4 linked regions of the Arabidopsis thaliana genome follow. The protein of the gene in region 4 interacts with the protein of the main gene of each other region in a pairwise test. Each region holds a gene or a part of one and is shown on either strand. Other genes may lie near its edges. The genes, in order: bZIP7, PRE1, GATA19 and CIA2.

Region 1 (7,887 bases), on a different chromosome or scaffold from region 4:
TATTGGAAACATCTAGAAGTATATTTATAGGGAGGTTAAATGGACTGAATGTTTTTTGCTACTACTGATTATTATTATTTTGCCATAATTTGCCACTGGTGCTGTTAAGGGTAAAGGAGATTGTTAATTGGACCAAAACCAATCCCTTTTTTTTTTTTTTTCCAAAACCAATCCCTAAGAATAATAAAAGAACTTTTTTTGTTTGGCATTAGTCTATCAAAAACGTTGACCTGTTTTTACGTGAAGTCAACCGTTGATTTTTTCATATTGGGCCAAATATACCAATATACTGGCCCAATGCAATTCAAGCATGATGGTGGTACAGTCGGAAATAAAAAACTTGAAAGTTGAAACATACATTACTTTAACCCGATTTAATTAGTAGGTCGACACGCAGAAAAACAATTTATGAATTGGTTATCAGTAATTTGATGTCACTAATTAGTACAATTATCGCAATAGTTGCAGGCCCCAACCACTATAATGTTAATATCACGAGAAACCAATCGATTTTTAAAGTTGCAAAGCAAAGAAGTTCGAAACTCGTTAACTAAACCCACCCTTACGTAAACATTTGACCATATTCTAATATGCATGTACATATACGATGCATACATATATATTTGGAGCTATAAGGAGAACCCTAATGGCTAATGACGTACCAAATGACGCCACACGATAAATCTCAACGAACACTCCACCACAAACATATAGATTACAAAAAGATACATTTAAAAAGCCATAATTAGTGGATTGCTAACGTTACTTACTTACTTTACATCCATTTACTCATATATATATACACCACACACACAAAAATATGTGTTAACACGAACGATGCAAGGCGACAAAAATATAAAAGTAATTTAGGAAAAATATATCGCTAATTTGTTGAACTGTAGAAGCGTAGAGTTAATTTTCTGGATCTGTTGAGTACATCCGACGGCCAAAACTTAATCGACACGAAAGTTTAGGTCGAGGACCCGAGCAATGTTAGCATTTAGTCGCCATTGTTCTTAGTCTTATACTCTTATTAATGACTTAATAATATCAATTATTGATCGTCAGACTTATATCTATTTAATATACTAATAAAAAATTAGTTTTATATATATATATATATATATATAGAAAAGTATTAACGATTTCTCCAGTATGCGACTACCTGGAGACTAAATTATCTTAAACAACATTCTATAGTATTTGTATCCGTAAAGTTTTTTTTTTTTAAATCAGTACTCAATAACATCAAATATTTGCAACTCATTTTCATAGAAACGACAGACTTTTTCAAAGAAAATTCAAATAGCAAGAGTGTTGCATGTGGACATCCATTGCCAAAGAAACGACACGTTTAAGTTTTTCCATGACAAAAATAATAGACTCATTTAGGGTTTTCCCAATTTACAAATTTTGTCGTTATATGGCCTGTATTCTTTTTATAGTGATTAAAAAACTTTACATGCGTCATATTTAGAATTTCTTCAAACTTTTTATTAAAGTTTCCTCCTCGACTTTAGTTTAAGATTTTTAAATTTAATATGACCTAAACGGGGCTAAACTAGCCATAGGCTAAGTAATTAGCATAAATATAAGAAAAGCATACACACCAAGTTGACTATAATCTTACAAATAAGTATTTGAAGTTTTAACAAATTTTTAAGAATATTTGTTCAGATATGATCTACTGGAATTCCGTTACATTTCAATGATAGTTTTTGTGGTTAACTTTTTTTAAAGAATTAAATCTTTTTAAAAAAAAAAATTGTTTTTTTCAGAGTTTATATAGTAAAATTTATAAATATAGGTATAAAATCAAAATTTATTGGATTTTCCGTAAGTTTAATTGTATGTATGAATCATCAATAGTACAAGATCCATAATATATACCTATACGCATCAAAATTGGTATATGTTTCCTCAAGCAAAGGGAAGTTCGTTAATTAGCATAAGGGTAAAGAATAATGTCTTCTACATGATTCGCATGACTATTACTTGAGTTATATAAAGATTCTATGTACGTATGTCTTCAGATATGTAAAGGAAGAATTAATGTAATTCTAAAATGTTCTAAAAAATTGATGCGGGTTTTAATTTAGTGGTTTGTATGTACGAATGTTGCTACCCTGTTCGCTGTCCGGATTCCAATATGATAAATATGCGTGTGAGTACAAACGAAAAAAAGACTATTATAGAACATTAAATCTTTAAATTATTGAGTTATTTACGTGTTAAGGCTCAATGAATATTCGAACTAAAGTTGTGACATCAATTTACAAGTAAATGTGGGCTTTCCGTCTTATAAACTTTTTTCATTTCCCATGACATGTGTATTGAACTCCTTTAATACAATAATGAGGTGAAAACTTTTTAAGATAAAGATTTTTGTAACTCCACTAGGGAAAAATCATTGTATCAAACTTTAAAAAATTTCGAAATACAAATGTTAAAATAGACCACTTAGCATGAAATGTTCGTATACGTATATAGATCGAGCTTTAAGAACTTTGTACTAATTAGGATCAAACTATAAAATATTTTGCTAATATATCAAACTGTATATGATTATCTCAACAGAACCTTGTTGTAACTTGCTATAAGCCATGTTGAAAGCTGGTTCACCAGCCGGGCACAAGCTTAGCTCCTGGCTCATCGACCGATCTGCGATACGACTTTTTCAGTGGTTAACAATAGTAATAGGTCCCTCCACTCGACCTTTTTTAATGTATATAAAAAGCTAAGATGTGAGCTTTTTTTTCTGGACATTTAAAGTTGAGTTCACATGAGACCGAACCAAAACATGAATCTGGCTATAATAAAGCGACGTGTATATGTAATATATATAAGTCTTTGTCCTCTCCACTTTATTCTATATGAAATGCATGTGGCCGTTGCTCCACATTTTTTGTTTCTCATCATAAATAAGCTAAGTAAAGGTATCTAAAAATTAATATAATTATAGTATACTAAATTTAATTTTAATCAGAATTTTGTACTAGGGATTGTGTGATTTAGAAGTCTAGGCGCATTTTTCATCCTTATTAATTATCTTTCCTTAGATTGGTAAATTATTAAGCGAAAAAGCTATGTAATGCCGTATATATATTTATACAATCAATTATGATTGATGCAGCATTTTAACCAAAGAGAAAACAATTCAACATTAAGATAAAAATTAATTTATTTTCTATATTTCCATTAATTTTCTGTTGTATATTTAAACATTATTTACGAAACAATATATTTTGATTCAAGATTTAACAATTAAATTATTGAATTTTTCACATTATATTTCTAATGAAGAAACTAATCTAAAAATACTCTACATTTGATGTATCCTTGCAATCGAAATATTCAATGTTTCCGTGTAGCAAGCAAGTATATATACTTAACTTTTTGGTCATAGGTTAACTTATAGGGTTCTTTACAAAAAGCATTGGTCTCATCTCTCATGCAAAGCACCAGTTTGGTTCAGTTAATTGAAAAGTATGTTCCTTAGATTCTCTGATTGAAACGATGATTCTAGTCCCTCTCCAGTGTGTGTCCATCCCGTGTTAAAAGAAATTGACAAAACTAAAATAAAGAAAGATTGCCATTCTCTTTAAAAAAAGATTGTCTTTCTCTTTAAGAAAGATTATTAAACAGTGAACATAAAGAACCACAAATTACTCTATTCTGACTGTAAATATCATAATTAACCAGCATATGTTCACATACAATTTTTGTTTTATCTAATCACTAACTAAAATGATAAGTTTATTGAAGATAATATGGAATTGATAATTTTTTGTTTTTTTTGTTGAATCTTCTAACAAGAATGAGAGAAAACTATATGAAGTATTCAATTCCAATATGAAAAGTTAAACTTTTTCTAGGAGTGTAAAGAAATATCTCATTCTTGAATTTCTTAAAACGTGTGAAATATGGACTGTTTTCTTCATCACTAAGCTATTACTGGTTACATAATTTTCAAATTTGTTAATTTATTTTTGTTATATGGACCCAAAACAAGCTATTGGTGCCCTACACAATATTTCCTGCTTTTACAAAAGTTGGCTCTGCCAAATAAAAATTTTCAAGTTTTTAACCCCACCATAGTGCAACATGACTCAAAAGCTGTTTATACAGTATAGTCTACGGTCTTACATCGTATTTTGGAAATATGACCAAATTACCCCTTGGTTTGTCCATAAATATCAAGCTCCAACAATGCAATTCTTCCCTTTTCCCCTTCTAATTTCTCTCATCTCTCTATTAGAAAAATTATTAGCAATTATGTTGTCCACTGCACCGGCCTTTTCATTCTCCGAACCGGGTTTGGTTAATCAATTCTCGGGTTTCCAAACCGGGTTCACTCCTTGGGAATGGGATTGCTCTGATCTCTTTTTCGTGGACCAAATGTCTCTTGAACCGGCCATCCCTAGTCCTTGTTATGGTGAATCCGACACTGGTTCCGTCAAAATTAATTCCGGTTCTCATGACATGAAAACCGGTTCTGACGAATCTTGTGCCGGTTTCGTCAAAATTAATCCTCGTTGTGACGACGCCGACATATCAAACGATCTACCGTGCTCTCAAGCAGATGAACCGGACTCGGACGACACAAAACAATTGACAGCCATCACAAATTTCGGTTCGGGAGAGAATAACCATAACCGGAAAAAAATGATCCAACCGGAGATGACCGACGAGCGGAAGAGGAAGAGGATGGAGTCAAACCGGGAATCAGCGAAACGGTCAAGAATGCGTAAACAAAGTCACATTGATAACTTACGAGAGCAAGTAAACCGGTTGGATTTAGAAAACCGTGAGCTCGGGAACCGACTCCGGTTAGTTTTACACCAGCTTCAACGAGTGAATTCCGACAATAACCGGCTCGTGACAGAACAAGAGATACTCCGGCTAAGATTGTCGGAGATGCGTCGGATTCTGATCATTAGACAACTTCAACAACAGCAACAATGGGAACTACATAACCGGAGAATGATCATGACTGAACAAAACCACCCTCATCTTCAATGATAGATCAAAATATTTAAGAAGAAAAAATATCGAAAAACTTAGAACAATAACCAAAAAAAAAAAGCAAAGCAAAAAAGAAACTCTCGCTATGTCTCTCTATCTCTCTATGTAAATGAAATGAAGGTTAGGAAGAGAAAATGATAGTTTTCTAATTTTCCTTTCCACTTTCTCGTTTTCTATATGTTGTGACTCCACTACACTAGAGAAGAAGGAAAACAAAACAGATTTTTATTTTGGTTTTCTTTTTCCCACTCTCGTGTATGAGATAAATAACTTAAAGAGTTATTAAATTAATACAACGATTTACATTATTACTTAGTGGAAACTGGAAAGGCTTTATGCGCATTGACATCATGCTACAACGCCCATAATTGTTGAAAAGATACACTGTATTTTAAAGTACTAAACCAAGCCTAATAAACCGGTTGCCACGATCCCAAATACTGTAATATCACTACATAATATATCTTAATCGTTAAAATGCCTATCTCGGCCCAAATAAAGTTTTGGAACATAAAGCCCAACAATAATTTAGGTCCTCAAGTCCATTTTTGTTACGACCCTAAAAGTTTTCCCTTGATGAAAGAGCAAAGATAAACCCTAGTTTGTAACTGAACAATTAGAATAAAGATTGTGATTATATGAAGTGATTATCAAACAAATGATTCAGAAATCGGAAACGAAGAAAGAATCAGAAGAACAACGATTTTCTAATTTCCTCTTTAAGCTTTAGAAAGACGAAACAGAACATAATGAAAGAGAAAAAACAGAGCTTTTCTTTTTTTGTTTCCTGCCGCAGGACTTGGTTTCAGTTTTCAGGTTGTGTAATGAAAGTAATCGCCATTGTGTCTGTTGTTCTCTGCAATGGGGCTGCTCACGGAGCTGTTGTTAGAGAGTGAACAAAATGTGGACTTTTGCAAAACCCCTGTAGGAGAAGATCCAAATGTTGGACTATTCGTTGTACTGTTTAGTACTTCACCTAGAGGACCTCCTAAGGAGTTTCCCCATGAGATTGGTATCCAAGTATTCACCTTTTTCACAGTAGGCTCGATTGTTGTTTCATCGGTTTGGATCGATAGGTCAAGCTCGCGGGATAGCCTGAGAGGCGAGAGTGTTGTTTTTTCTTGAGCATTGTTGTTGTTGTGTGTGGAGGAAGGGGATGATGATGCTATTGGAATTGACATTGAGAGCTGTGTCCAATCTGATGTCAGCTCTTCAGGCCAAGAATTGTGATTGTGATTCCCTGAATGCTTCTCTTGGTTGCTGCTGAAATCCAAGAACGATGATCCATAGGTCTTTGCGGTATTCGGGTTGAGTAACGAATCAGAGGATATGTGTCCAAACTCAAAAGGGTTGTTGTTGTTTCTGTGTTTCTGATGAATAACCGGAGATTCCTTGGGTTGTAAGTTGACGGTGGAAGGATATATCGAAACTCCTCTGTTTTGCAAGAGTCAGTAAGTGAGATATGAACTAACAATGAATATGCAGAGTATTAAAAATCTGTTTTCACCTGTTGTTAGGTAAAGATTCTGTAGAAGGATTGATATATTGACTTCCAATGGCGAGGCTGCGGTTGCTTGATGCACGGGCATTGCTTCTGTTAGTATTACCAGCGACAACAGGCTGTTGTGGTGTAGTAACCGCTTTGGATGCAGCAGCGGCGGTTTGGTTTTGGCCAGATTGGACTTCCACAGGCTTTCTTGAACGATGACGGCCTCTGTTGATGTGTCTTTCACAGTATTTCTGATCAGGAACGGCGTCTCTTGAGCACCGCCATTTCTTCCCATCTGTTCTGCGGCATCTCCCTGGCTCAGGGTCCATGTTACCGCCTGCGAAACCGAGATGGAAAGTTCCCCATCCGACTACACAAAACCGAACATAAACACTCATTAACCATTTATAACAAAATTCCCTATGAAAAATCCTAAAAGCAACCATTGTTGTAAAGACTTTTCAACCAACAAGACAAATCTTGAAAACCCTATGAGCAATGTTATGAAGGATTTAGCACCAAAATGACATAAAAGACTAGATAAAATCTGATTCTTGGATTAAGCAACCACACCACAAATGAGTTGATCAAAACCCCAAAACTTTCACAAACAAGTGATCGCTCAATGGAAAGTTATGTGCAACTAGAAATTGTGTTAAAGAGATGGAGCTTACAGGAACTAGGAGGCAAAGATCCGTAAGGATAAAAAGACTTCTTGATAGAGATGAGCAAACTAGAAGGAACAGGGACATTGGCTGTGATGTACTTATAGATCAACGCCTGTTGCTCTAACTCAGCCCATTGAGTCAATGTAAAAGGTCCTTTAACACCTGTGAAGTTCCCTTGCATGCTCATGTTCATCATCATTCCACCAGAACCATATCCTCCTGCATTCCACAGCAAAAATGTAAAAAATTTGATTATTTTACACAACCCATTTCACCAAAATCCAATCAATAAAGAGAAGACATTATCAAACCTGAGCTTCTAAAGTAAGAAGGTGGAGGAATCTGGTGAAGAAACGGCGAGAGAGAGTTCTTGTTATTACTGCTATTATCCAAACCGACATATTTACTGAAATCAAGAGCGTCTGGTTTATCTGAGAAGCTAAGCATTTGTTCTTGACGGCGAGAATCAGAGGAAAGAGGAGAAGCAGATCTCATGAGAGGAATGCCTTGGTGAAACGACATCGTTTTGCAATAAGCAGCTGCAACAGAAGAAGACAAGTTTTCTTCTTCTTCCGCTCTAGTTGTCGTTCTTGCTAGCTTCAAGCTTCGTTGCAAGCAATCCTCACCGATGAATCCGGATCTATCTTGTTTAGTTCCTATAAGCTCTTTTAGACCAAGTGACTCATTTTCATTACTAGTAACCGA
Region 2 (7,614 bases), 7.2 Mb from region 4:
TAAACGATTTCAAATAAGATATCCTTTTCTTATTTATGATTATCAGATTATGTAAACAACATACGTAATTTTCCCCACCACATTTGTAGAGTGATGTAATTCCCGATCTAAGGTAAGACTAAAACAATATAATGAATAGATTTAGTTAGATAGTAAAGCTTTTTTGCTGTTGATGAGCATGAGGCTCATTGTTTTGGAGAAGCCTATGCAAAGCATGATTGTGTAATAATTATGAGAGAAAAATGGTTAAAGGGGACCATGAAATATATATTGGTCTATACCTGGACCATAATGTGTTACGTATTCCTTATTATTAAGAGTTGATACCTACTATTGAAAAATATACGAGTGAAAAATCCAGATCTTCGTGTAGATATATCATTTAAATTCCTTTTTTTAACTAGATAAATATACCAAAGTAAAAAATTTATTTACTATTGAAGTCTTTTCTTTTAATAAATTAGAGTCACTCAGTAAAAATGATTTTTTTCTTAACTAGATAAATATATCAAAATAAAAAAACTTTATTACCATTGAAGTATTTTCTTTTAATAAATTGGAGTCACTCCGTAAAAATGATCCTTAACTTAATTGTAAAGTATTTAATTTAACTTAATTGTTGGTTTTGCCATTTTTTGAATAGTTTGTAGATTTTGTATATTTTAAGACAACAAAAATGTGATTTAAGATGCGTTTTACTCGTTTGGATTTAATCATTTTAATTTATATAAAAGACATATTTTTGCAAAAACAATTCGTAATATGTACACTTAAGTGTTAAAAAATGGCAGAATTCGTAAACTATTCAAAATATTATTGTTAGATTTTTTTTTTAAACGGCATTTTAGACAAGAATCCCTATTTACCTAGAGTCTTCAATTTGAATTTAGAAAATATGGAATTAAATTTAATGTACTTTCTTAATGATACTTACTGTAAATAGATAGAATTACATAGATGTATCAGTATCTTCTTAATTGCCATTGTAGTAACACGGCAAAAGTCTACCGTTTTACGTGTGTGCACACACACTACACAATCTGTCGATGCTTTGTTTGTGATGTGATTATGTGAATATATGATGGCGAAACAATTCTTATCAAGGGACATGTTATCCGTGGAATTTGTTCGACATTTCCAGCGTAATTCGAATACTCATGCTAAATCCAGAGAAACATTTCGCAGTTATAAATATAATTGTTGGACATCTTATGTGTGTTGTATATTTCGACCTGATCAAATATTTATAAATATAATTGAATAATTCAAATCTTTGAACATAGAATCGAAGATGCCGTTTTGACGACTTTTTCAATGTTTTTTTTTAATTGTTATTTTATTCACTGCGAAGATATGATTGGTGCCATTAATGCATATTATCGTACTATAGTGTTTTTGTAATTCATTGGAAAAAAAAAAAATTGCTCAACTTTTCCAAAGTGAGTTTTTATAAATTACTTATTTAACGAGTCCTTCATTTCCACATGATTACTCGTGTTTTTTACAACATGTTTGTAAAGATGTGAATTAATTGCGAAAAAGTAGACACAAAAACATTGTGGAGCCTATGAGACCAAACATTTAGTACCCGAACCCACATGGACTAACATGTAAAATCTCCCTTTGCAATTTATTAGAATGGTCACTTTCTTTAATAATCTTGTATATATAAAACACACACACACACACCAACACACTTTTATATATATTCTTGTATTCACACATATAAGAAAAATTGATAAATGTTTTCTTTAATTATGTGCTTTATTAAAAAATTGTATGAATTAATGTTCTCGTTGAATTTTTGTGGTGGATAGATCATTGACATATATATGGTGTACTTACTATACTGTTGTCATTCTCTTGAATTATAAGTGTGAATTTCATGTCGGATGATATCGGTTAGAGTAATGAAATGTTTGGCTATATAACAAGCACAACGATGGAGAAAATAATTTTCTTATATATTTAGTATATATTGAGCAAAAAGTACTTTTAATAAGTAACGTAACGTAACATTGATTTCGTTAACTATGAATATAATCCGATCCATGTCATGCAAACCTGTCGGAAGAGAACCATTCTCACTTATATTTTCTTGTTGGTGAGAATATATTAAACTGTTATTGAATTACTAATGAAATAGAATGTTGTGATAAATTAATACACCACACAAACGAAATATTTTGAGGGATAATGAGGGATTTCGAAATTTATATAACCTTTCATAATAATAATAATATGTTCAAACAGATAATTGTATTCGACTGTTACATACTTGTCGGATCTTTATTGATAATGTTATTGGACAACAAGATATCTAAAATTTTGATCTTATGGACCCGAGGGCAGCATGTAACACGAGACATGGTGGTGACACGTGACATAGTCGATGTTTTGTGAACATTTATATAAATTAATACTCAACCAATAATGGACCAATCGAACAATTAAATTAAGTTATATGAGACATGCGATTTTATTCACTTCAAAATAAAAAAATTCTTTAAATAAATTATTTTAGGCAAAGTGTAAGTGTGCGAAGAAGTTTGAAATAAATGGTCTGAACGAAGTTTTAAAGCCGATAGATACGTTTCTTTTAAGCATTTGGTTTCCTTTTCACGTTTTATAAAAGAATTAATTATGGATTTACCATTTTTTGAATGATATTTATGGATTTTGTCATTTTTTAAATAATTTGTGGATTTTGCTCTTTTTCAGTCTAAAAAATGAAATTTAGCATAGCTTTTATTCGTTATATTAAGGTTTAGTCGAGTTTTTTTTTTGTTTTTTAAGTTTAGCATTTAATATAAAATACTTATTTTTGTAAAAATAATATCGTAAATACGTACATTTATAAGTACTAAAATGACAATTTCGTAAAATTTTAGTAAAAATGACTTTTTCAAAAGATTTTGATGAAAACGGCAAAATCAACAATAATCCTTTTATAGAAAATATTTGTTTTATATCTACTATTTTTAAGTTACATTGACATTCTATAATTTTTTAAAAGTTATCACACGAAATATTTTACATATGAGGTGAAACTATTTATGGCTTAGCAGTTAGAAAACAATGTTCCATAGGAGTCAATAATTAGGCTTCTTCCTTTCTAAAACAAATGTAGTTAGTATGGAAGATAGAATTTACATAATTCTCTCTATGCTTTTTTATACAAGTTTGGAACTATATATTTTATACAAGTTTAAAATATATAGTTTGGTAATATACAAGATTTACAGATAAATATACAAACTGTACCTAGATATTGTGGAATACAAATTTAGAGAGACAATTTAGGCGATAATACTAGTTCTAATATTAGAAGAAAAAAAATTGAATGAAAAGTCATGTCATCACATGGTAGTTGCCTTTTTGTGAAATTGCAGATGAAGGGCCACAATGTTAGATGAACATGAAACACTTATCTTGACCTTCATCAACCCCATCTTTGGGAACTTTTCGTTTCCTCCATTTAACTATTCAAATCTCCTCCAATTATTCAAAAAATTTAGTACCCATTTATTTATCCACTCTATAGGAATTATACTGTAAAATTTTCAATAACTAAGCATATGTATATTTGTGATCCATTCTAGTCATAATCATTTTCTTTTTTTTTGGATAGTTGAGGCATAAAAAGTTGGGGTTTTGGTAAAACAAATCCTAAGAGAAATCTATTTTTGTAATTTTACCCTCTACTTCTAAAATATGCAGAATAATCATAAAAAAACAAAAATAATACGCAATATATTCCTTATACATATATTGTAAACGTATTCACGATCACATACATTTTAAAAAATCTAAATTAAAGAAGAGTTGAACTCTTTGTCTCGAGGGCTTCGATTTGATATAATACTTCTCAATTTTTTTAAAACTTGACGAAATCTGACAATAGCAAAAAATGTTATATTGCGTAGTATTTTTCACTTTGTAAAATTATTCTATATTTTCTGAAAGTAGAAATGGACGATTTCAAGACTTATTTTCCACAAAATCCTAAAAAGTTACGAATCTTGAAACTTGTGTATCATTTGAACTATACACAATAACTAACTAACCATGATTGAAAACGTTGTGAAATAATTCAATCCCGCCATTACCTTCGTATAATGATTGGTAATAGTCTCGACTGATGATATGTATATATACGGCTTGGAAATCTGTAATAAAAAATGATTTCGAAGTTTTGTGGTTTAAGGGCATTCAATCTATCGCTTTCTTCTCCCGTGACATCATTGTCGAGGTTTATTGCTGCTCTCCGTCGCTCTCTCTCTCTTGTGGTCCATTGGCCTATTTAAATCTCTCTTATCACATTCTCAATTTCTTTATATTTGAAGTGTATTCAAAACCCCAAAACACTTTTCTCATTCTCTTCTCTATTTTCTTCTTGCTCTCTAGTTTTTCTTTCTTCTTGGTCGTTTCCTTTCAGCATAAAAACCTTATAAAATCATAAAAGCTTACACCTACTTGCCACATAGACATAGCCGATCTCATTATATCTCTATTTCTATTTCTCAATAGAACTTGTTTGAGCTAGTGTGAGAGAAGTAAAGAAAGAGAGAAGAATCCACAACTTAGTTAGGGTCTTTTCTTGCCACATTGTTGAACATGTCGAACAGAAGATCAAGGCAATCTTCAAGTGCTCCAAGGATCTCCGATAATCAAATGATTGACCTCGTATCTAAGCTCCGTCAAATTTTGCCGGAGATTGGTCAACGACGTCGTTCTGATAAGGTATCACGCATAATATATGCATATATTCATTTATAACGACCATTTAACATTATCCATCGTGTAAACCTATCCAAAAAAGGAAAGAACAAAAGTTTTGTAAAAAGAAGAGTGGACACTAAAATCAAACAAGAAAGAAAAAAGAAGTCGGAACTTTTGACTCCGGACATTAAGGAACATATATACCAATATTCACAACCTTTTTCTTCCATATTTACATAAGAGATTACATCAAAATCATCAGCTTGCATGCATCTGCAAACGCATAAAAGCGCATGCATTGGTTCAAAAAACATATATTATAATGATTATGATTTTATTTCGTTTTTGTTGTTGAAGGCATCAGCCTCGAAAGTATTGCAAGAGACATGCAATTACATACGAAATTTGAACAGAGAAGTTGACAATCTGAGCGAGCGTTTGTCTCAGCTTCTCGAATCTGTCGATGAAGATAGCCCTGAAGCCGCCGTTATTAGAAGCCTACTCATGTAATCTTTTTTGTTCTTTTGTTTGTTTTTGACAAGCCTATCCATGTAATCTTAAATGATCGCTCTATAATAATTATATTTTTAACATAATCGTCTTATTATGTAAAATTCAAAGAGATGGGCTTGATCTTTAATGACATACGAATTTCATAGGGTTAATTCCATAGTCAAAAGTCTCCGACATATATGTGTGTAGCAGAACTGCACGAGCATTGCCTTAGCAGGTGCATTATTAAAATAAACCAGTGGGATGAAATTTGGTGGAGAAGAATCTTTCTTTTTTTCTCCCTAACAAAGAAAAAAAAAACAGAGATTGTGATGTCTGAACTCGATTGTGTCAGTCAAGGACAGTAAAATTGCGAGAGGACATTGTTAGTTGCGAGCATTTAATTTTATACGGAATAAAAAAAGTTATTTGGCACATTGTTTTTGAGGTAACAAATCATCTAAACCTCAAAATAGAGATAAAAAGCAAAAATAGAAATAGAAGACAAAATCAAATAAACTCTTAGCCATTTTGGAGGGGAAAAGAAACCCCATCTTAACTGTCACAAAAACGTTTATACACATCTAAAGGAAAGTTTTGCCTTTTAGGACGTCCACACAAAGAAATTAAATAAAAATCAACGTTATAGTTTTATTTGATATCTCATAATTCTACATGCATGTAGTTTAAAGTTTAAACACACGTATACGCATATTGATATACATGCACCCATGTACATACATTTAGACAAGTTTGGTCCTTTCAAGGCGTAGGAGACTGGTCAAATCTATCACTCCTAATTTTAAGCCATATAGCTATACCGGTTTGGTCCTTTCAGGGTTTAGGAGACTGGTCAAATCCGACTCCTAATTTTAAGCCATATAGCTATAAAAATAATCACAAGAAGAATTACATGAAAAAGGAGAGCATTCAGAGACTAGCTTTGTTACACTCTTCCACCTAAAACGATCTTAATTTTTTTTTCTTGTTACATAGATACAATTTTCAGGTCTTGTACCCTTTTTGAATTATTATTGTAAAATTTTGAGATATACTAAATAGAATAATTAAATAGCGGAAACGATTTAAACAATAGAGCAATAACGAAACGACACAATATTTAACAAGGTATCGGTTGGTTCTCTTTCAAACCAACCACTAGTCCTCGGCTGCAACAAAAGTTTATTAGATCACTTCAAGAAGTAAAAGATATACTTAGAATTTCTACAGTAAATTCAAATACATCTGTATCTAAGAACATGAACTAAGGTTAACAAGTAAACTCATTTTACTTCCCTTTAATCATGTATGAATTCTTCTTGGAGAAGTCTTTCCAAGGTGATCTCTCCCCAAACTCCACAGCGACACAAGTTTCACACAAACTTATCAAACACTCTGTTTTCTATTTCTCTGTTTTAACAGCAATCTTTTGTATCTTGAAAATTGGAGATGATGCTTGCAACACGTTGTCCTTATCCACCACAAAAGCAGAGTATATATATGAATATGACTCTTACAGAGAGCATCAAGGAAACAATTTGGATAAAAAGATTGCTATAATAATTGGTTCTTTGCAATCAAAATATGAAGTGAACTGTGACAGTCCAAGAGCTATATATGTTTGTCTAAAAATATGAAACGGGAACATATAGAAGTTGAGCTACACTTCATAAGGGATATGACCAAGATTGGTACTCTCTGGTCAATCCTACTGACATATTGTGTAAGGACAAAGTTGTGTAATGACATCAGAAGCAGGTAAATGAATATTAGATGTAACCGTTTGTCGAGGTGGAGATTTGTTGATTATTTCAACCAAAGACTCAAGAAGCTTAGAGAGTGAAGCTTTGGTTATGGAGGTTTTAGCTAAGTTAGTGTAAACGTCATTAAGTTATGTTTTCTTTATAGTAAAACAGGCTAAAACAATATAAAATACAAATTACAGTACTCTGTTATGTTTTTTTTTTTTTAATCAATTTCCAAGATACTTCCTACACGGGGAAACAACTTTTAGAATCTTTCTCCCATAAATAAAGTTCCTTGCGAAACACGTCGTTGGACTACCGAGGTCCAATGGCCGAATAGGTTACTTCTGCCACAGTCCAAGATTCTTCGTTTCGCTTCTTTCGTGACGAGGAGGAACCAGTCTCAAGTTGACTTTTACGGACTAAATAACCAGGCGGTCCAGGCGGAGCGATCTCTATTGTGTCGCTTGCGAACATGACAGAGATTGATAGCATCGTGGGCCTATCCTCAGCACATTCTTGAACACACAAGAGACCAATCTGTATGTATCTTTTAACTTGGTGTTGTTGAAATGTTGATGAATCAAGGATAATTTGATCTATGATTTCGAGCCCTTTACCTTCCTTCCAATTCCTCCATATCTATTCATCATAA
Region 3 (7,537 bases), on a different chromosome or scaffold from region 4:
AAACTATTTAGAACTCAGATATCGGTGGATTCTATGGAGTGTTGTTGCTTATGGCTTAACTCTTTGTTTTTTTCTTTCTGATAGCTTCATGCACCTGATCTGGCGCTGGCTTACTGTGATCGTATATATGAGTCTGTTACTTATCTACCATCTGGAAAACCGTCAAGCAATATCTACCTCACAGTGCTGCAAATATACCTGAATCCTAAGAAAAGCGCAAAAGACTTTGCAAAACGAATTGTAGCTCTAGGATCATTCGAAAGTTCAGACACCACAAAAATGATGGACTCTGTTTTATCTTCAAAAGCTAAAGGAGGCCGATCCAAGAAAATTGTTGCAATAGAAGGCGCTGAGGATATGCGAGTTGGTCTCAGTAGCAGCACTGACAGTGGAAGAAGCGATGTTGATACTGAAGAACCCTTGGAAGAAGGAGACTCCACCGTTATGATCTCTGAAGTTCTTGATCTGTTGAGCCAAAGGTGGGAGAGGATCAACGGTGCACAAGCCCTCAAGCTTTTGCCTAGAGAAACTAAACTCCATGTAAATGTTTTGAATCTGACTTATACTTATCCCATAACTACTTACTAGCATTTTATTGAAGCTCACCTATTCTATTATCCAATTCCTACAGAACCTGCTTCCGTTTCTTGCACCCCTTCTAAGAAATTCAAGTGAAGCTCACAGAAACTTTTCAGTCATCAAGAGTTTGAGGCAGAGTGAAAACTTACAGGTATGTTTGTGTTTCTGGAACTATTGACACCTAGCATTAAAAGAAACCCGTATGTGAAATTGATGATGTGAAACGAATAGGTGAAAGAGGAACTATACAAACATAGGAAAGGAGTAGCGCAAGTAACAAGCGAAAGCATGTGCTCATTGTGCAACAAGAAGATAGGGACAAGCGTATTTGCTGTTTATCCCAACGGGAAAACGTTAGTTCACTTTGTATGCTTCAGAGATTCTCAAGGCATGAAAGCTGTTTCTAAGACAACACATGGAAGAAGACGATGAGGTAATCATCAATTACTGTAACAAAGAGAGGTTTAAGACACTAAACCATCTTTTCTTTTTTACAAAACTCCCAAAGTGCAATTAAAGAAAAAGCTCCTTTCGTGTTGTTTGTCTGTTTATAGAGAGAGATTTGGAGCTACTTTTTTGGTGTTTTCTTCTGTGGTTTTTTGTGTTTGGTTCAAAATGATGGTCTTGACTCTTGACAAAACCAGTTTGGCTCTTGTTGTAAAATCTGTTAGTTTATATAAAGACTTTTCATTTTTGTGTAATTGGGACTTGTCGAAGAAAATAACGAATGTTAGTGCGAAATCTAACAACATTCAACCAAATGAAGGTGATATGATGGGCCAAGAAACGTGGGCTGGATTAGGCGTTATCAGGCTTCAACAGCTCAGTTAGATTATAATAAGATTAGAAGTCACGTGAGTGAAGAGACATGACATGTAATGTGAAATTACGAAGTCGAACACTTTGCGTCTTGGGGTAATCGTTAGGGTTAGGTTTCGTGTTCTACGAAGCAAAGAGCATAAGAGACAGAGAGGCATCTTTTGGGAAAGCGGTGGTCGCCGTATCTCAATTGAACCAAAAATTAACCAATCTCAAGACCGATCCGATTCTCTTTGTTCCCTCTCTCTCTGGGTCTCTTGGTGTTCTTTTAATCTTTTTTACTCTTTCCCGTTTCACGCATTTTGTCCACTCGTGTTTGGCGGCACACGACATCCTCCAACAAGATTATTGAATTGATATTCTTAAAACTCATCAATTTGATTGTTTTCCTTTTGTTGAACGAGTGAGGTTTATAGAAAACACAGTTGATATTTCATGTTTGTAATAAAATGAAATGAATGTTGGTAAATAAGATAATGAAACTCAAATAATAGTATATATAAACATAAAACGTACAATTTATTTATTCTTAATATTTTTTTTTTTAGTTGAGAGCTTATAAAATTAGTATAAAAACGTTACACATTTTGACGTACCCCATTACGATAATTGATCCAAAAATGGGTCGGCCGATCAAATTTAAAATTATTTGATACAAAACCTTACTTTGAAAGCAAAAAAAACATAGATCTGTTCTTGGAGATAACGTAACTTCGTTATTTGATCCAAAATTAGATAAAAAGAGAAAGAAGATAAAGGATAAAGAAATAAGAGCTTAGAGCTACAGAGTGTACTCATTTGATGGGTTCATTCTCTTTGTACCCTTTTTCTTTTAAATTTTAAATTTTGGTTGGAGTTTGCTTCTTTGACTAAATCAATAGAAACATAGAATAACTCTCACCAAGCTAAAGAAAGAACACAATGTAATTGCTTTAAAATCATTGCAAAGTATCTCACTTTGTCTTTATTCCTTTTTAGTTCACTTATAACTTGAACATTGGCTAGTTTTGTTCTTTTAACTCCTTAAAAGCACCGATCTTGGCGATTACGATCTCTCATGCTTGACCACAATCGTAACAACAATATTCAATCACATACAAAACAAATTTTTTGATTAAGGTTAAAAACAACATAATTATACGTCATATACAACATTTTATTTGTATTATTACGACTGTCGTTAGAGAGCCACTGAAATTGTAGTGCGGTGAACATTAACAGTGTCGCACACTATTTGAATTTAGAACATAAAATGGATTCATGCATATATGAGAGTATGACACGTCGAATTGGTGAAGCGAGCGATGACGTGTGGAAGAAGAGATTCGGAAAGAGAAGGAGCGTTTAATTTCGAGATGATCGTGATCAGAGAGAGACCAGATCCTTGGAAGACCGTGACATTGCCAGTCACGTGCCTCTTTTTTGACTACCTTCCTCTCTGCTGCTTTAACTGCAGATGTACTTATCATTTATTTTCTTACTTTACCATTTAAATAATATATCAAAACACTGTAGTTTGCTTAGCATTGTTAAACAAGACTACTCACTTGGTACTTGGTCGTGGAATATTATACGGTATGCAATGAATTTGCATAATAATCTAGATTCGGAGCAGTATCATTAATTAATTTTGTTAGGTTAAAACGTTTTGTTATTAAAAATCGCTTAGAACTGAACAAAAACCAACACATATTTAGAATATTCATTGCAACATCTTTGTAGACAAACTAAAGGAGCAAATTCACATGTAAATCTAAAGAACAAAAGAATAAAGCATAGATTAATCATACACACATAATAAGACCGGGACCAAATTTTCCTCTTTTGCCAAGTTCCCAAATTCTCTATAAATACTTCTTGTCTCCATTTCACAACAGCAACGTGGACTCTTTCTTTGTTTTGGCTGACTCTTCTTTCACCGTTTCCTTAGAGAACTTATTCATCTCATAAACACCACACACAACACACACTTCTCTTTCTCCTTCTCTCTATATATTTTAATATCAACTTTCTAGGGTTTCCAAGTTCATATATAGTGATGGGTTTCTCAATGTTCTTCTCCCCCGAAAACGACGTCAGCCATCATTCCTCTCCATATGCTTCTGTTGACTGCACTCTCTCACTTGGAACTCCCTCCACTCGCCTCTGCAACGAGGATGATGAACGTAGATTCTCGTCTCATACCTCCGACACCATAGGCTGGGACTTCTTGAACGGTTCCAAGAAAGGCGGTGGAGGCGGCGGACATAACCTCCTCGCTCGCCGTTGCGCCAACTGCGACACCACTTCTACTCCTCTTTGGAGAAACGGTCCAAGAGGTCCCAAGGTATTTAATATGTAACCTTTACATCAAATATTTTATCATTTCTTGATGTGGGACTAATATTTCTCTCTGTACAACAAAACAAATATTGATAATAACTTTATATGATTTTTAATTTGGTCAGTCGTTGTGTAATGCGTGTGGAATCCGATTCAAGAAAGAAGAGAGACGTGCATCGACCGCCAGAAACTCGACCTCCGGCGGAGGATCAACTGCAGCTGGAGTTCCAACTTTGGATCATCAAGCAAGTGCAAATTATTATTATAACAATAATAACCAATATGCTTCATCGTCGCCTTGGCACCATCAGCATAATACGCAGAGAGTTCCATATTACTCGCCGGCCAATAACGAATACTCATACGTTGATGATGTCAGAGTTGTTGATCATGACGTCACAACCGACCCGTTCTTGTCTTGGAGGCTTAACGTCGCCGACCGGACCGGCCTTGTCCACGATTTTACGATGTGATGAGTGATCATTTCATAGATATTCCCCTTATAAGTCTTAGCCTTGGATACCTTTTAACAAAAAAGAAAAGTCTTAGCCTTCGTTAAATTCTTTATTTTACTTTCCTTTAAATATAAATATTTAATGTCTTTTTTTGGTCTCTGTGTAAGTGTTTTTCTTAAATTTATAATTCGTATGATGGATGCTACTTGTGTTTTCCTTGCATGACTTTTAAAATGTTCTCTCGGGTAATGAACTAATAATTCGTGACTTTATAACCTTTACATGATGTGTGTCCTACTTTGACCACGATTCAGTGATATACTATACATATACAGAATACATATTCATTCCTTTAATTTCTTTTTAAAGCATCTTTGGGTTTTTGTACGGAGAATGTGAATATTTTGGGATGCAGATACTATCTTCACAAATACTTATATCTTAAACGTTTAATTTGTGAGTTTCTTTTCCAAATTGAAATAATCAAATACTTGGACCGAATTTGAAAATTAAGCCAACAAATATCTGCAGGGTGGCCAAGCTGAATGTTTGTCGTGTTTTGCCCAAATTGTCTTGGAAATTTGACCATCAATTAGGTCTTCGTGTGCTGCTCTGCTTAAAACTGTTGCTGCCAACTGCATGTGAAGAATATTTATCTTTTTCATAACGTGTTTAGTTATTGTATTAAAAAAACGTTAGTTTTTATTTGATTGTTTCCGGAAACACAATCCAAGATAATAAAGTGTTTTGAAACTCTATAACAACAGAAAGCGAGAGTAACAATTTTTTTTTGAGTCATTTATGAGAGTCAAGACGAAAAAAGAGTCACTAAACTACTAAATTTGTCTTCCAATTAGAATAATAATGAAATGTTTTTCTATTTTTTCACGAATAAAATTAAATGTCTTCAGAATTTCTACTTTCCACTTTCAACCGCTCCTGACCGGGAATGAGCATATAAGTTGCGATTTTATTTGGGCCTAAGCCCATTCGATATAAATTCCATTCAAAGTCAAATGAAATTCCAAATTGAAACGATTTTTTAAAAATTGGAATATAGACCACCGCCAGATTCTATACCTATAAAACTCTATTTTACCAAGACCTACATATACATCATACAAATATACATTACTTATCCGCTACGCAAGAAGAAACTGTAACATACGGATTTAAGTAGGATGTTTAGGTCATCCACCGGGTATCTCCCCAACTGTAATTAGATCCAACAAACGCTATCTTGTCATCATTCATTGAAAAGCTAATTAAGTCATTTTCTCAAAATCATGCATAATGACAAACAAACAAAAAAAATTACCAAAGCAACTATCAAATGGTGGTAATCTAGTGATTTCGGTCTATTTAATATCATAAATGGAATTTTGAAGGGATTTGACTGTACTATGACACTTTTAGTTTCTAGAATTGTTGTGTTCTTGTACTGGTTAAGAGGCTAATTAAAAAAAAAACAGAAAAGCATAGATTAACAACCCAACACCTAACATTTTAACAAATTCCAAATCCAAGTGCCAATTCTCCAAGTTACATTTGAAAAGATCGAATGGAAAAAATGTTTATATAATGTTGCATCCCATTTGGGCTTCTCTTCAAACATCTCTCAACAACAACAACAAAACAAAACTTGCACAATGGTGAACTTTGTTGAGGTACAAAAACCATTGTTGTACGGTCTGATGAAAATGGCTGGCGTCGTTCCTTACACTTTAGAGATCGAACCAGGGACGAAGATCAACTTTTGGGTCCCTAAGGAAACCCTAAAGAAGAATTCCGGTACCGGAAAACCAACGAAACCCGATAAACCTAAAAAGCCTGTCGTCTTGTTAATCCATGGTTTCGCTGGCGAAGGAATCGTGACGTGGCAGTTCCAAGTCGGTGCATTATCCAAGAAATACTCGGTCTACATACCGGACCTCCTCTTTTTCGGTGGATCCTACACCGACAACTCGGACCGGTCTCCGGCGTTTCAAGCCGACTGTTTGGTCAAGGGGCTTCGTATCCTCGGCGTGGATAAGTTTGTTCCCGTAGGGTTTAGCTACGGGGGCATGGTGGCTTTCAAGATCGCTGAAGCTTACCCGGACATGGTTAGAGCAATCGTTGTGTCTGGTTCGATTCCCACAATGACCGATACCATTAATGAGGCGAGCTTGAACCGGTTAGGGTTTAGTTCTTCCACGGATCTCTTGTTACCGACTTCTGTTACGGGACTTAAGGCTCTCTTCACCATTGCTGTGCATAAACCCTTGTGGTTCCCTAAACGATTGTTCAAAGACTACATCGAGGTGATTATTACTACTCAAAGTTAATTTATTTATTTTCTTTTCCTTTAGTGAAAATAACAATTCCGTAGCAAATGATTACATTTTGGAGTAAGAAAGCATGTTAGTTTTTCTTTCTTTTTTTTTATTTTTCCACAAATTCACATTATTAGTATATTTTACTGTCGCAAGGACATATTCATATGGATCACGTTTCCAAGAAAGAGTGATTGTGTGAGTTAGGTGGGACTTGCGAAGTATACTTACCTCTATTCGATCAACTGAAAATGAATTGGAACTTTAAAATTAAAATTCCAATTTGTTGCCTAAAAATTAAAATTATATACAATAGAAGTAAGTAACGAAAAATAGATTCTAGATAAATCTACATTTCTGGTAGGTTAGCTATTAAAAATATTTTATTTTGTCAAAGGTTAGCTTAATTTGTTCAACTACTCTCAACTACATCTCGTATTTATTTTCTAGGTAACATATGTTTTTTTCGTCACTATACTTGTCTACCAATGATTGATTTAACTAGAGTTTCTATTATACTATATTCTAAGAGTTTTTCGTTGAATAAATGTGAACGTATGGTCCTAAATTAAGCTTTACTGGTGAACTTGGTAGGTAATGTTTAACAACAGAAAAGAAAGAGCTGAACTGTTAGAGGCTGTTGTGGTCAGCAACAAGGAAGCGCAAATCCCTCATTTCCCACGGGTACGTATGAACATATGTCCACATCCGTATGATTTGTAGGATTTAGACTCTATATAATAGCATTTCATGTGTGTATGCAGAAAATACATTTCTTGTGGGGTGAAAGTGATCAAATCTTTGATCTCGAATTGGCTAGAGACATGAAAGAGTAAGTTTGAAGATATTATAATTTTATAATTTCTGCCATTTTGAAAGGATTTTTTGGTGTTATCCTAATTTTTGCCGTTATGATTTTTAGACAAATAGGTGAGAACGCAACAATAGAGAGTATAAAGAAGGCAGGCCATTTGGTACAATTGGAAAGACCTTGTGTTTACAATAGGCGTCTCAAAAAGTTTCTTGCATCTATTCACTCGGAAGATAAAA
Region 4 (9,427 bases):
AAAACGACAGCTGAGATATTCTTCAAAATCATTTTTTCTTTTATTTCAACAATTTCTTCTTCTACTATATATAAACAAATAAATGTCACTTTTTTCATTCTTCGTGTTAGTCATGTTATCTAATCCATAATCCTTTTAAAATCCACATAAATAAATACTCAAAATACGACTCACAACAGGGGAGCCACATAGTTTTATCTCTGTAGTCACATATTTTTATCTCTTTAGTCACAGAGTTTTATCTATTTAGTTTTATCTCTCCTTAATGTCCTTGACGTAGCAGTATCCGGGTATAAAGTACATCAATCACACATGCTGCAACGATTGAAATTATTAATGTACTTTTATCCAACAAAACTTTTACGGGAAAATGGTAAAGAATTAGTAAAGAAATGGAAGAGAGGTCACATGTTGACATAAGAATAACATAAGAACAAAACTTACTTTGGAGCAGTGCCATAACAAGGTTTATCCTGTTTTTTCTTGAGGTTCAAATTCCCTCCAGCACAACTTCTTTAGATAAGAAAAATTCTCTACATTTCAAAGTTCTACGAAGATTTTTTTTTGTCTACCGACTTTTCTTGCAAGTTCCTTTTTAATTTAATTTATTTGGGTTTATTTCGTTTTAAGTATATGTAATCACAATGTTTTAATACAATTTCAATTTTGATATAGACGGATGACTCGTGGGTATCATATCTCATATAATGGAATATCTAACATAAAATAAACAAACATATCTAAATAGAAAATCAGATATCTAACCAGGAGTCATTGAACCTAATGAGGTAAACGTAGGTTTAGCTTTCGCCACAAATTACTTCAAATGATCCCAAAAAGGTTCCAATCATTTTTTCTCTCTCACATACACAAATCCACTAGCCCACCACTTTTCTCTTTCCACACTTTTGTTTTTAAACTAAATTAATTATTATTTAATAACTATATTGTAAATACGACAATTTTGTAAGCTTGCTTCTACTAATATAGCCAATTAGCTATAGATATTATATTACGGCCGTTACTTTTCTAATGTTTCTTTTGCAGAAACGTTTGAAAGTTTAACATAAAACTAACCTTGAAAAAGTAAGTCAATGAAAGAAATAAATTTTCAATTATCATGTCTATATATATATCCAAAAAATTATCTAAAATATAGATAAGAAAGTATCAATTTATGCTAATATTTTTTTCCCAAATATGCTAAATTAGTAAATTTGAAAAAAAAAAAAAATCTTACTAATAAAGGGAAATTAGTAAAATAATAAAGTCGGTTTTTTAAGAACACGTGAAAACGTCTCCGACCAGGCGACCATAATCAGTTAATTGAGAAAGCACCACGTCATCAAAGAAATCTAGTAGAGCCAATGGGTATGTGCCACGTCAATGGATAAGGTGACCTTTCCTCGTTTTCTCTTTAAGATCCCAAAAAGATTTTGCAGATTTGGATGATGATGATGTGGTTTTTACATCTTTTTAGAAAATAATCCAAAAACAGAATCACATTTCCCTCCAGTCAAAAAGGATCATTAATGACTATTACTCACTAAACAACCTGGATTAAACTCTTGAGCATCTTTTCTTGGTTAAACTTTATTCAAGAAGAACAGAAATCGGATATCACAACCAAATCAATAAATTAAAACTGAGAAATCTTATTAAAACTATTACTATTATCAAAAATATATATCAAATTTTAAATAAAATCTTCTACAAAACCTGTAAAAAAATATAACTTCGAATTCTATTTAAAATCTAGATATCATAAACTAAAATATAAACCAATATATGGCTTCACTTCTAGCTACAATTAATCAGGGTCGGCTCAAAATAATAAAGGACCCAGAGCTGAAAAAAAAATTAGTTCTCATTTCCTATGTTTTGTTATGTAAATCTTTTTTTTGGATCGTAATTGTATTAGATTTACTTCAAAAAAAAGAGAAATTTTGGGTTGACTCTGTGCCTCGCTCCTCCGGCACATGTGTAGAGCCGGACCTGCAATTAATAGAAACAAAAATTAAACTAATATATGGTGACTCTAAATTGAAACTAAAACTAATAGTGGATAAATTTGTTTAACTCTATACTAGTTTAAAGAGCTGAAATTAAATATTGTGAATGGTAGAACTCGATTTTTGGTATCAACTAAGAAGAAAAATCCTCAACCTCAACTAATATAATACTGCCACAGGCTGGATTAGACAATTGATCGGCGCTACATCATTACTTACCACTTAATCGATGATGTGATTAATATTTTTCAATCATGAGTAATTTCGATAAATCACACTCAAAATATTTATCCCCCTTTCAAATTAATGACTGATCGCTGTTATATTACTTACTCACCACAAGATCGATATGCAAAATAATATCTTAAATTTTTGGGTAAAAATTATTGTGTAACAAGTGGATAATATCAATAAATCAATACATAAAAGATTTACTCAATTTGAATTAATGACTTACTGTCGTTATATTAATGTAATACATAAAAATTTAACTTTAAGAATGAACGATCGTCGCTACATTACATTATTACCAAATCGTCACAAAATTAATATTTTATATTTTGAGTAAATGTTAATGAACAAATAAATTTGTTAAATCAACACATAACAAATTTAATTCAATCGTATTATGACCGATCGTTGCCACAATCATATCGCTTTATTATAGGTTTAACAATTGATTTTTCATTATTTTGTTTTCAATCTCCAAATCATTTCTCAATAACTCTCAAACATTGTTTAAAGCTTTTTTTCTTAATTAACATTATAACAAAAAAATAAATAGAGAAATTTACTTTGATTCAAACACCAGTCATTGTAGATTAGCCAAGAGTTTTCAGTAACAAAATTTACCTTATAAACCTTTTGAATGGCTATTTCTGAAATGGAATAGAAATCTTTAGTCGTGGAAGTATCTCTATCCATAAGAAAACTCGTTTTACAAAGTAATTTTAAATCAATACAAAAAGTGAAAAAATCCACTGGTGGACCCCATTCATTCCAGAATTGCCGATTACGAGCTATCTTGTCCCTTCTTCACCATTCGCTCACTCTCTCTCTCTCTCTCTCGTCTTCTTCTTCCCACCACTCTCTCTGTTTCTCCACAACTTCTCTTCTCAAAGTTAAAATTACCCCTAAACCAAAAAAAAAAAAAACGCTCTTCACTATTTATTTACTAAACTCTCCTTTGTTTGTTACTAAGCTCTCACTAAAACCCTAATCTTTCTCCTCTTATATATCTCGTGACTCTTCTTTCTCCTCCAATCTCTCTCTCCCTCTTCACAAACCAATTAGCTTCTTTCTGTAAAACCTCACTCGTTGGCCAATTCTTTTGGTTTTCATACACATAAATCTCAGATTCCAAATGGGTTTTCTTAGCTCTTTCTTTCAAATGATGAACATTTGTTAGCAGAATCTTCCTCTTTCCCTAAAGTTTTGATCTTTTTTTCCCCCTTCAATTTTGTATTTTCTCACCAAATAAAAAAAGGTTTCTTCAGTGGGTTTTAAGGGTTTATTATTATCTTAAAATTAAACACAATTCTTTAATCAAAAGGCAAAAATCTTAATTTCATCACTCTCTTCTCACTCACAAAAGTTCTTACAATCTTCAAAGTTTTGGTCTTGTTTCTTTTCCGATTTCACCGGACAAAAAAAATGTCGGCGTGTTTAAGCAGCGGAGGAGGAGGAGCAGCAGCATATAGTTTCGAGTTAGAAAAAGTGAAATCACCACCACCATCATCCTCAACAACAACAACAAGAGCTACTTCACCATCATCAACAATCTCCGAATCATCAAATTCACCACTCGCAATCTCAACGAGAAAGCCAAGAACACAACGCAAAAGACCAAACCAGACTTACAACGAAGCAGCTACTCTTCTCTCTACTGCTTATCCCAACATCTTCTCCTCAAACTTGTCCTCTAAGCAAAAAACTCACTCTTCATCAAACTCTCACTTCTACGGGCCATTGCTTAGTGACAACGACGACGCTTCTGATTTGCTTCTTCCTTATGAATCAATCGAAGAACCTGATTTTCTGTTTCATCCAACGATTCAAACGAAAACAGAGTTTTTCTCAGACCAGAAGGAAGTTAACTCCGGTGGAGATTGCTACGGTGGTGAAATCGAAAAGTTTGATTTCTCCGACGAATTCGATGCTGAATCGATTCTCGATGAGGATATTGAAGAAGGAATCGATAGTATAATGGGGACTGTGGTGGAATCGAATTCAAATTCGGGGATTTATGAATCTAGGGTTCCGGGAATGATCAATCGCGGTGGAAGAAGTTCTTCTAATCGGATTGGTAAACTAGAACAGATGATGATGATCAATTCATGGAATCGAAGCTCTAACGGATTCAATTTCCCGTTAGGGCTTGGATTACGAAGTGCTCTCAGAGAAAACGACGACACAAAATTGTGGAAGATTCATACCGTTGATTTCGAACAGATCTCGCCGCGAATTCAAACTGTCAAAACCGAAACTGCAATCTCCACCGTTGATGAGGAGAAATCCGACGGTAAGAAGGTGGTAATCTCTGGAGAGAAGAGTAATAAGAAGAAGAAGAAGAAGAAAATGACGGTGACGACGACATTGATTACGGAATCGAAAAGCTTGGAAGATACGGAGGAGACGAGTTTGAAGAGAACAGGTCCGTTGTTGAAGCTTGATTACGACGGCGTTTTGGAAGCTTGGTCTGATAAAACGTCGCCGTTTCCCGACGAGATTCAGGGATCGGAAGCTGTCGATGTCAATGTATGTTTAACACTAATCTCTTCTTAATCTCAAATCCCTCGCCGTTAAAATTCGATATTTTCTATGTTTATTTTTCTTTAGTTAATGGTTAGTTTGAAATAATTAATTATTCGGGATTCTGTTTTGGCCATTAGTATTCTGCCACGTGGCTGTTGAGGAGTGTGTTCTCATTAATGCTGAATTAGTAATTTATTAGCTATGATATAGTTTGAAGTATCTGACAAGAATTTATTAAATTTTGTGGAAAGTTCTTATTAATAATTTTTCCTGTAACGTATTTTGAAGAATAATTATTAACCCTTTGACTTTGGTACATAGTCTTCTTTTTATTATAAATAACATTTTTTTCTGTGATGACTTTCAATCAATTAAGAAAAAAAAAAGCTGCTTTTTATTTGTCCAATGAAAACTTTATAGACTGTGCACGTGAATTTTCACGTATAGGATAAATGAGGAGGTTCAAAATTTATTTTGTAGATATCCGTTTCGTCGAATACTCCTTTTAGCATAAAGTCTAGTAGTCTACAAAATAAGTTAACTAGAAATTCATTTTTGTCAATTGATTAGTATTTTGTGTTATTAATAATGTTGAACATGAACTAATGTGGCGTGTGTGTTTTGGGGCAGGCTAGATTAGCTCAGATTGATTTGTTCGGAGACAGTGGAATGCGAGAAGCAAGTGTTTTGAGGTACAAAGAGAAACGTCGAACTCGTCTTTTTTCGAAGAAAATTCGATACCAAGTTCGCAAACTCAATGCTGATCAACGTCCTCGAATGAAGGTATCTAACCCATCTTAGTCAGTGGTTAAAAACATGTAGGTTTTTTTTACCATCCTTCAAAATTTGTTTTGAATCAGCATAATAAGACTAGCTTTAGTTTTCAGATTTAAAGTAGATGAGAAAACTCTTGTTGAGTTTTTCTATTCGTTTTTTTTCTTCAAGAAGATGAAATAAGCTTTCTTTTGGGTATCTTTATTCCAAATGAACCAAACCGAACAAGTAAAGGAAACTACGTACCACAAGCCAAACAAAAAGATTTAAAACCAAACCAAAGGTTAAATATATTAAGAATTGTCATCTAAAGGAAACAAAACTAACTAATAACGTTAGATTGAGGTCAAGGGCTAGGGATATATACATTAGATTTGATTAAGACAAGAACCTAATATTAATGTTTTCTTTTCTTTTTGTGGTTGGTGATGGGATGTGGGAACAGGGACGATTCGTGAGAAGGCCCAATGAGAGCACTCCAAGTGGACAAAGATAACAAGGATAAAAGAGCCTAGATTTATCTTATCTTTTTTTTTTTATCTTTTGTTTATTCCTTGTTTTATTTTTGTTTCTAAAATTTTGGCACCCTCCTTTTTTGTTTCTTTTAAGTTATGGTCCCTTTTGGTTTATAATTTAGATTTTTTGATGAGGGGGAGATTTGATTGAGAAAGTGAGGGATCAAAACTAATAAAAGTTTTTGTTATTAATAGAAGAAACAGAGCTCTTGAGATTTTAATGACTCAAGAAGCAAGTCAGAGACTTGGCTCAACAACAACAGTAGCAAAAAACAAGACATGGATTATTCACCAATCCCAATGGCTCAAACTATGTTGCAGCCTTGTACACCTGTTGTTTCGTTGCCCATTGCTTCTTTGAGTCATCAAAACCGGTGACAAATCATTGATACCTCTCAATATCTGTTTTTGCCGAGCCAAATTTCCTTTCCCAATAAAAACATTATAGAGAAAAAGCATATTGAATTAAGGGCAAAAATAGCTTCTAGGACGTGTTATATGATTTTTGAATGGTAGCTTCTTCTAGATACCATTTTATCTTTGACCAAGAATCGAGTGTTATTTTACAAGGCTTGACGGAATGGCAAAAACAGAACTCTCTGCACAAGGAATGTGTTGAGCTCATTACTTGTATACATGATACAAGAGATATCGTTTGGTTTATATACAGAGTTATTATGCACGAAACAAGAGGAAAATCAAATCAAACCAAATTGGTCTCTGGTAATCAGTTCAGTGGCAAAGATTTTCAGATCAATGTAGACCTAGCAAATGTCCTTGTGGAGACACCTAATTGCATTCCAACACTCACTAATGTCTCTAAAGACCTACCACTGTTAACCAAGAGATCATTATCGATCCCGATCGCGTCCTGCATAATTCAAATGGAAGGTTCATATTGAAAGAAAACAACAGTGAAGATATCATTTTAAAAGCATAAAACTGTTCTTAAGATTTTAAGATTAAGATATAATAAGTCACTAACCTTTTCAAAGACACATATAACTGTGCTTCCACCAAACGAAAAATAACCAAGCTGCAAGATAAATTGAAGTTAGGAAATATTCTCTTGAAGTGTTTCTTATGAAAAGTTGAAACTGCTTACTTCATCTCCTTTCTTCACATGCTCTCCTTCCTTTCTAACAAAATTTATGCTACCAACCATTGTTGCACCGATTGCAACAAAAGCAACCTGTTACATACTTATTAGCTAACCTTGAATTTATACAGTACACACTATTATTCTGATCCATTTGTAAACTGGATTCAGCATCTAACCTTTCCAAATTCTGCTGTTGATATAATTGCAACGGTTCGTTTATTTTCCGTGAATACATTACAGTACTTGCTATTGACCGCAATTGGATTAACCTATTCAACAAGGAAACAAAAGTGAGTCTCATGAGAAAACATGAGGGAGATGAGAGGAAATCTTGGACTAAAGTAAATGCAGAGGAGATGCATAACTACATACTGTATATAAGCTTCCAGAAACATCCACAAACTGTTCAATGACTCCAGAGACAGGGACATGAAACCGATGATAATCCTGTAACATCCAAGAAATATGTCAGAGTAACTAAAGAACAAACAACAACTGTGTAATTCAATAGGAGAAATCCAGTCTCGTCGCACCTGTGGTGCTAGTCTGAATATAACCAAAGATCCATCAAGGAAGGCATTTGGATTCACATTCTTCCCAAGGAGGCCTCTTATTGAAAACTTTTTGCCCTATCATTGCAGAATCAATGCAAAAAAATAAGGATGTGTTGCATTATATCAGCTACATCATTTGTTTTGAGAATTCTCTAATCTTGAATAATATTGATTAAGTATATAGTAAGCTACTCTAGAAACCATTTTACCTTGATCCAGAATCTGGTACTATCTTCCACCGACTGAAATGCCATTAATCGACAATCAGCGGCACATACAGCAACATCATTGCGGTTCATGCAAGCAATTGGTCTTGCACCAGGTTTCAACTCTCGGATAAAGAACTCATTGAACGTCTGCAAGTAAAAACAAAATCATCATTCTTGAAAATGCTATAAATCATATTGTGAAACTTAGTACTATACACATTTAGATTTAATGTTGACGCTATAAAACAGATCCCATGCATACCTTAAAATGCTGCAGAGGATACTTGACTTCAGCCATGTTTATTTGATCCTGAAACAGACAAAACATCTCAACTCCAAACCCAACAGCAAAGCAAAACATCATAGCTTAGTTAATAGTAACTTTACATGCCTTAAAGAACTCGAGAAAGCGTGGTATTTTTTGTGCGGATTCAACTGAGCTCATTTTCTTCCCCTGCTTCTCAGAAAGTCTCTGCAGAATCTCCTTTGCCCCTAAATCAAGAAAATCAATAAAGCATACAAAAGTGTGTTCTTTTGTTAGGTAAGGGTCTTATAGTTTGTTTACCTTGATCCATAAGTCTTAGTCCAATTTTTGACTGGTAAATAGCTCTCATGGACAGAACAATCTTTGAATCAATCAACTCTTCCACAAGTCTTTTACTCTTCCGGTCAATTACCTATAGCAAGAAGCAAAACACCAAGAAACTAGTAAAGTGAATACATTTGTTCTCCATGAGGAGACGCACATAAGACACCAACTAAAGAGAGCAAAAAGAACAGAATACCACAATATATGAAGCACTTGAACCAGTATTCAAACCAACGTCATAAGTTGATAAGTGTGTCCATTCACTTAGTTTGAACATCCATCTGAACAAAAGGTTGAAAAATATGATGTTAAGTAAGAGATGTCTAGTTATTTAGCTTAAAAGAAGAGGTTTCTCACCCATAAGAAGCTTGTCTATCAGTCAAAAACCCTCCGGTCATCACTTGATTACCCGTTCCTTCGTCAAAACAAAGAGTCATATGAATCATCGCGTTGAGCTTGTCAGAGACCTGAAGAGCCTCACCACACACCGGACAATTGTTTATAATTGGCTCTCTGCATTAGAGAATTCGAATTACTAGGATTCTAGGAGGTCTAAATAGACTTGTTATGAAAATAAGAATGAAGTATATTTGAAAACATGAAGTGATCCAAAGGTCATTACTGTTCTTGTTGAAGAGCAAGAAGCGCAGCTAACTCGTCAATCGTCACAACACCGTCCCCATTCAGGTCAGCAGCTTTAAACAACTCCTCTTTCTGGTAAATAAGTGAGTAACATCATTCTGACACTGATTGAAAATGAGAGAAAAACTCATGCATCCACTAATGACATAGATGCTTAAAGCCGAACCTTGTTCGCAGCCACTAAGTTTCCAAAAGCCTTTATTAGATCAGAGAACTCCGAAAACGAGAGTTGTCCATCTTCATTGTAGTCCTGCACATTGTCAAAGAACTCTTAAC

What was found.
Region 1: the proteins of CIA2 (region 4) and bZIP7 interact in a two-hybrid assay, tested with the Arabidopsis thaliana proteins (one large-scale study listed by BioGRID).
Region 2: the proteins of CIA2 (region 4) and PRE1 interact in a two-hybrid assay, tested with the Arabidopsis thaliana proteins (one large-scale study listed by BioGRID).
Region 3: the proteins of CIA2 (region 4) and GATA19 interact in a two-hybrid assay, tested with the Arabidopsis thaliana proteins (one large-scale study listed by BioGRID).

What each region holds. Positions count from the first base shown.
Region 1 is NC_003075.7:17,719,696-17,727,582, forward strand, and holds bZIP7 (basic leucine-zipper 7), read left to right. Parts: upstream 1-3,943; 5' UTR 3,944-4,104; coding exon 4,105-5,022; 3' UTR 5,023-5,342; downstream 5,343-7,887. Other genes in the region: GRF2 (growth-regulating factor 2), read right to left, coding at 5,838-6,459, 6,533-6,884, 7,189-7,401, 7,494-7,887.
Region 2 is NC_003076.8:15,953,072-15,960,685, forward strand, and holds PRE1 (basic helix-loop-helix (bHLH) DNA-binding family protein), read left to right. Parts: upstream 1-4,296; 5' UTR 4,297-4,617; coding exon 4,618-4,743; intron 4,744-5,079; coding exon 5,080-5,232; 3' UTR 5,233-5,488; downstream 5,489-7,614. UniProt on the Arabidopsis thaliana protein: Atypical and probable non DNA-binding bHLH transcription factor that integrates multiple signaling pathways to regulate cell elongation and plant development.
Region 3 is NC_003075.7:17,265,562-17,273,098, reverse strand, and holds GATA19 (GATA transcription factor 19), read left to right. Parts: upstream 1-3,099; 5' UTR 3,100-3,436; coding exon 3,437-3,724; intron 3,725-3,845; coding exon 3,846-4,193; 3' UTR 4,194-4,410; downstream 4,411-7,537. Other genes in the region: EMB2754 (Vacuolar sorting protein 39), read left to right, coding at 85-540, 632-730, 811-1,011; AT4G36610 (alpha/beta-Hydrolases superfamily protein), read left to right, coding at 5,825-6,475, 7,082-7,171, 7,252-7,319, 7,410-7,537. UniProt on the Arabidopsis thaliana protein: Transcriptional regulator that specifically binds 5'-GATA-3' or 5'-GAT-3' motifs within gene promoters.
Region 4 is NC_003076.8:23,164,728-23,174,154, forward strand, and holds CIA2 (chloroplast import apparatus 2), read left to right. Parts: upstream 1-3,046; 5' UTR 3,047-3,665; coding exon 3,666-4,769; coding exon of another isoform or gene 4,770-4,796; exon of another isoform or gene 4,797-5,396; coding exon 5,397-5,549; coding exon of another isoform or gene 5,550-5,567; exon of another isoform or gene 5,568-5,985; coding exon 5,986-6,036; 3' UTR 6,037-6,298; downstream 6,299-9,427. Other genes in the region: PSD2 (phosphatidylserine decarboxylase 2), read right to left, coding at 6,804-6,926, 7,041-7,091, 7,161-7,247, 7,334-7,426, 7,530-7,604, 7,691-7,786, 7,921-8,067, 8,183-8,230 and 6 more. UniProt on the Arabidopsis thaliana protein: Responsible for specific up-regulation of the translocon genes TOC33 and TOC75 in leaves. Involved in the general chloroplast protein import pathway regulation, including protein import and protein translation efficiencies.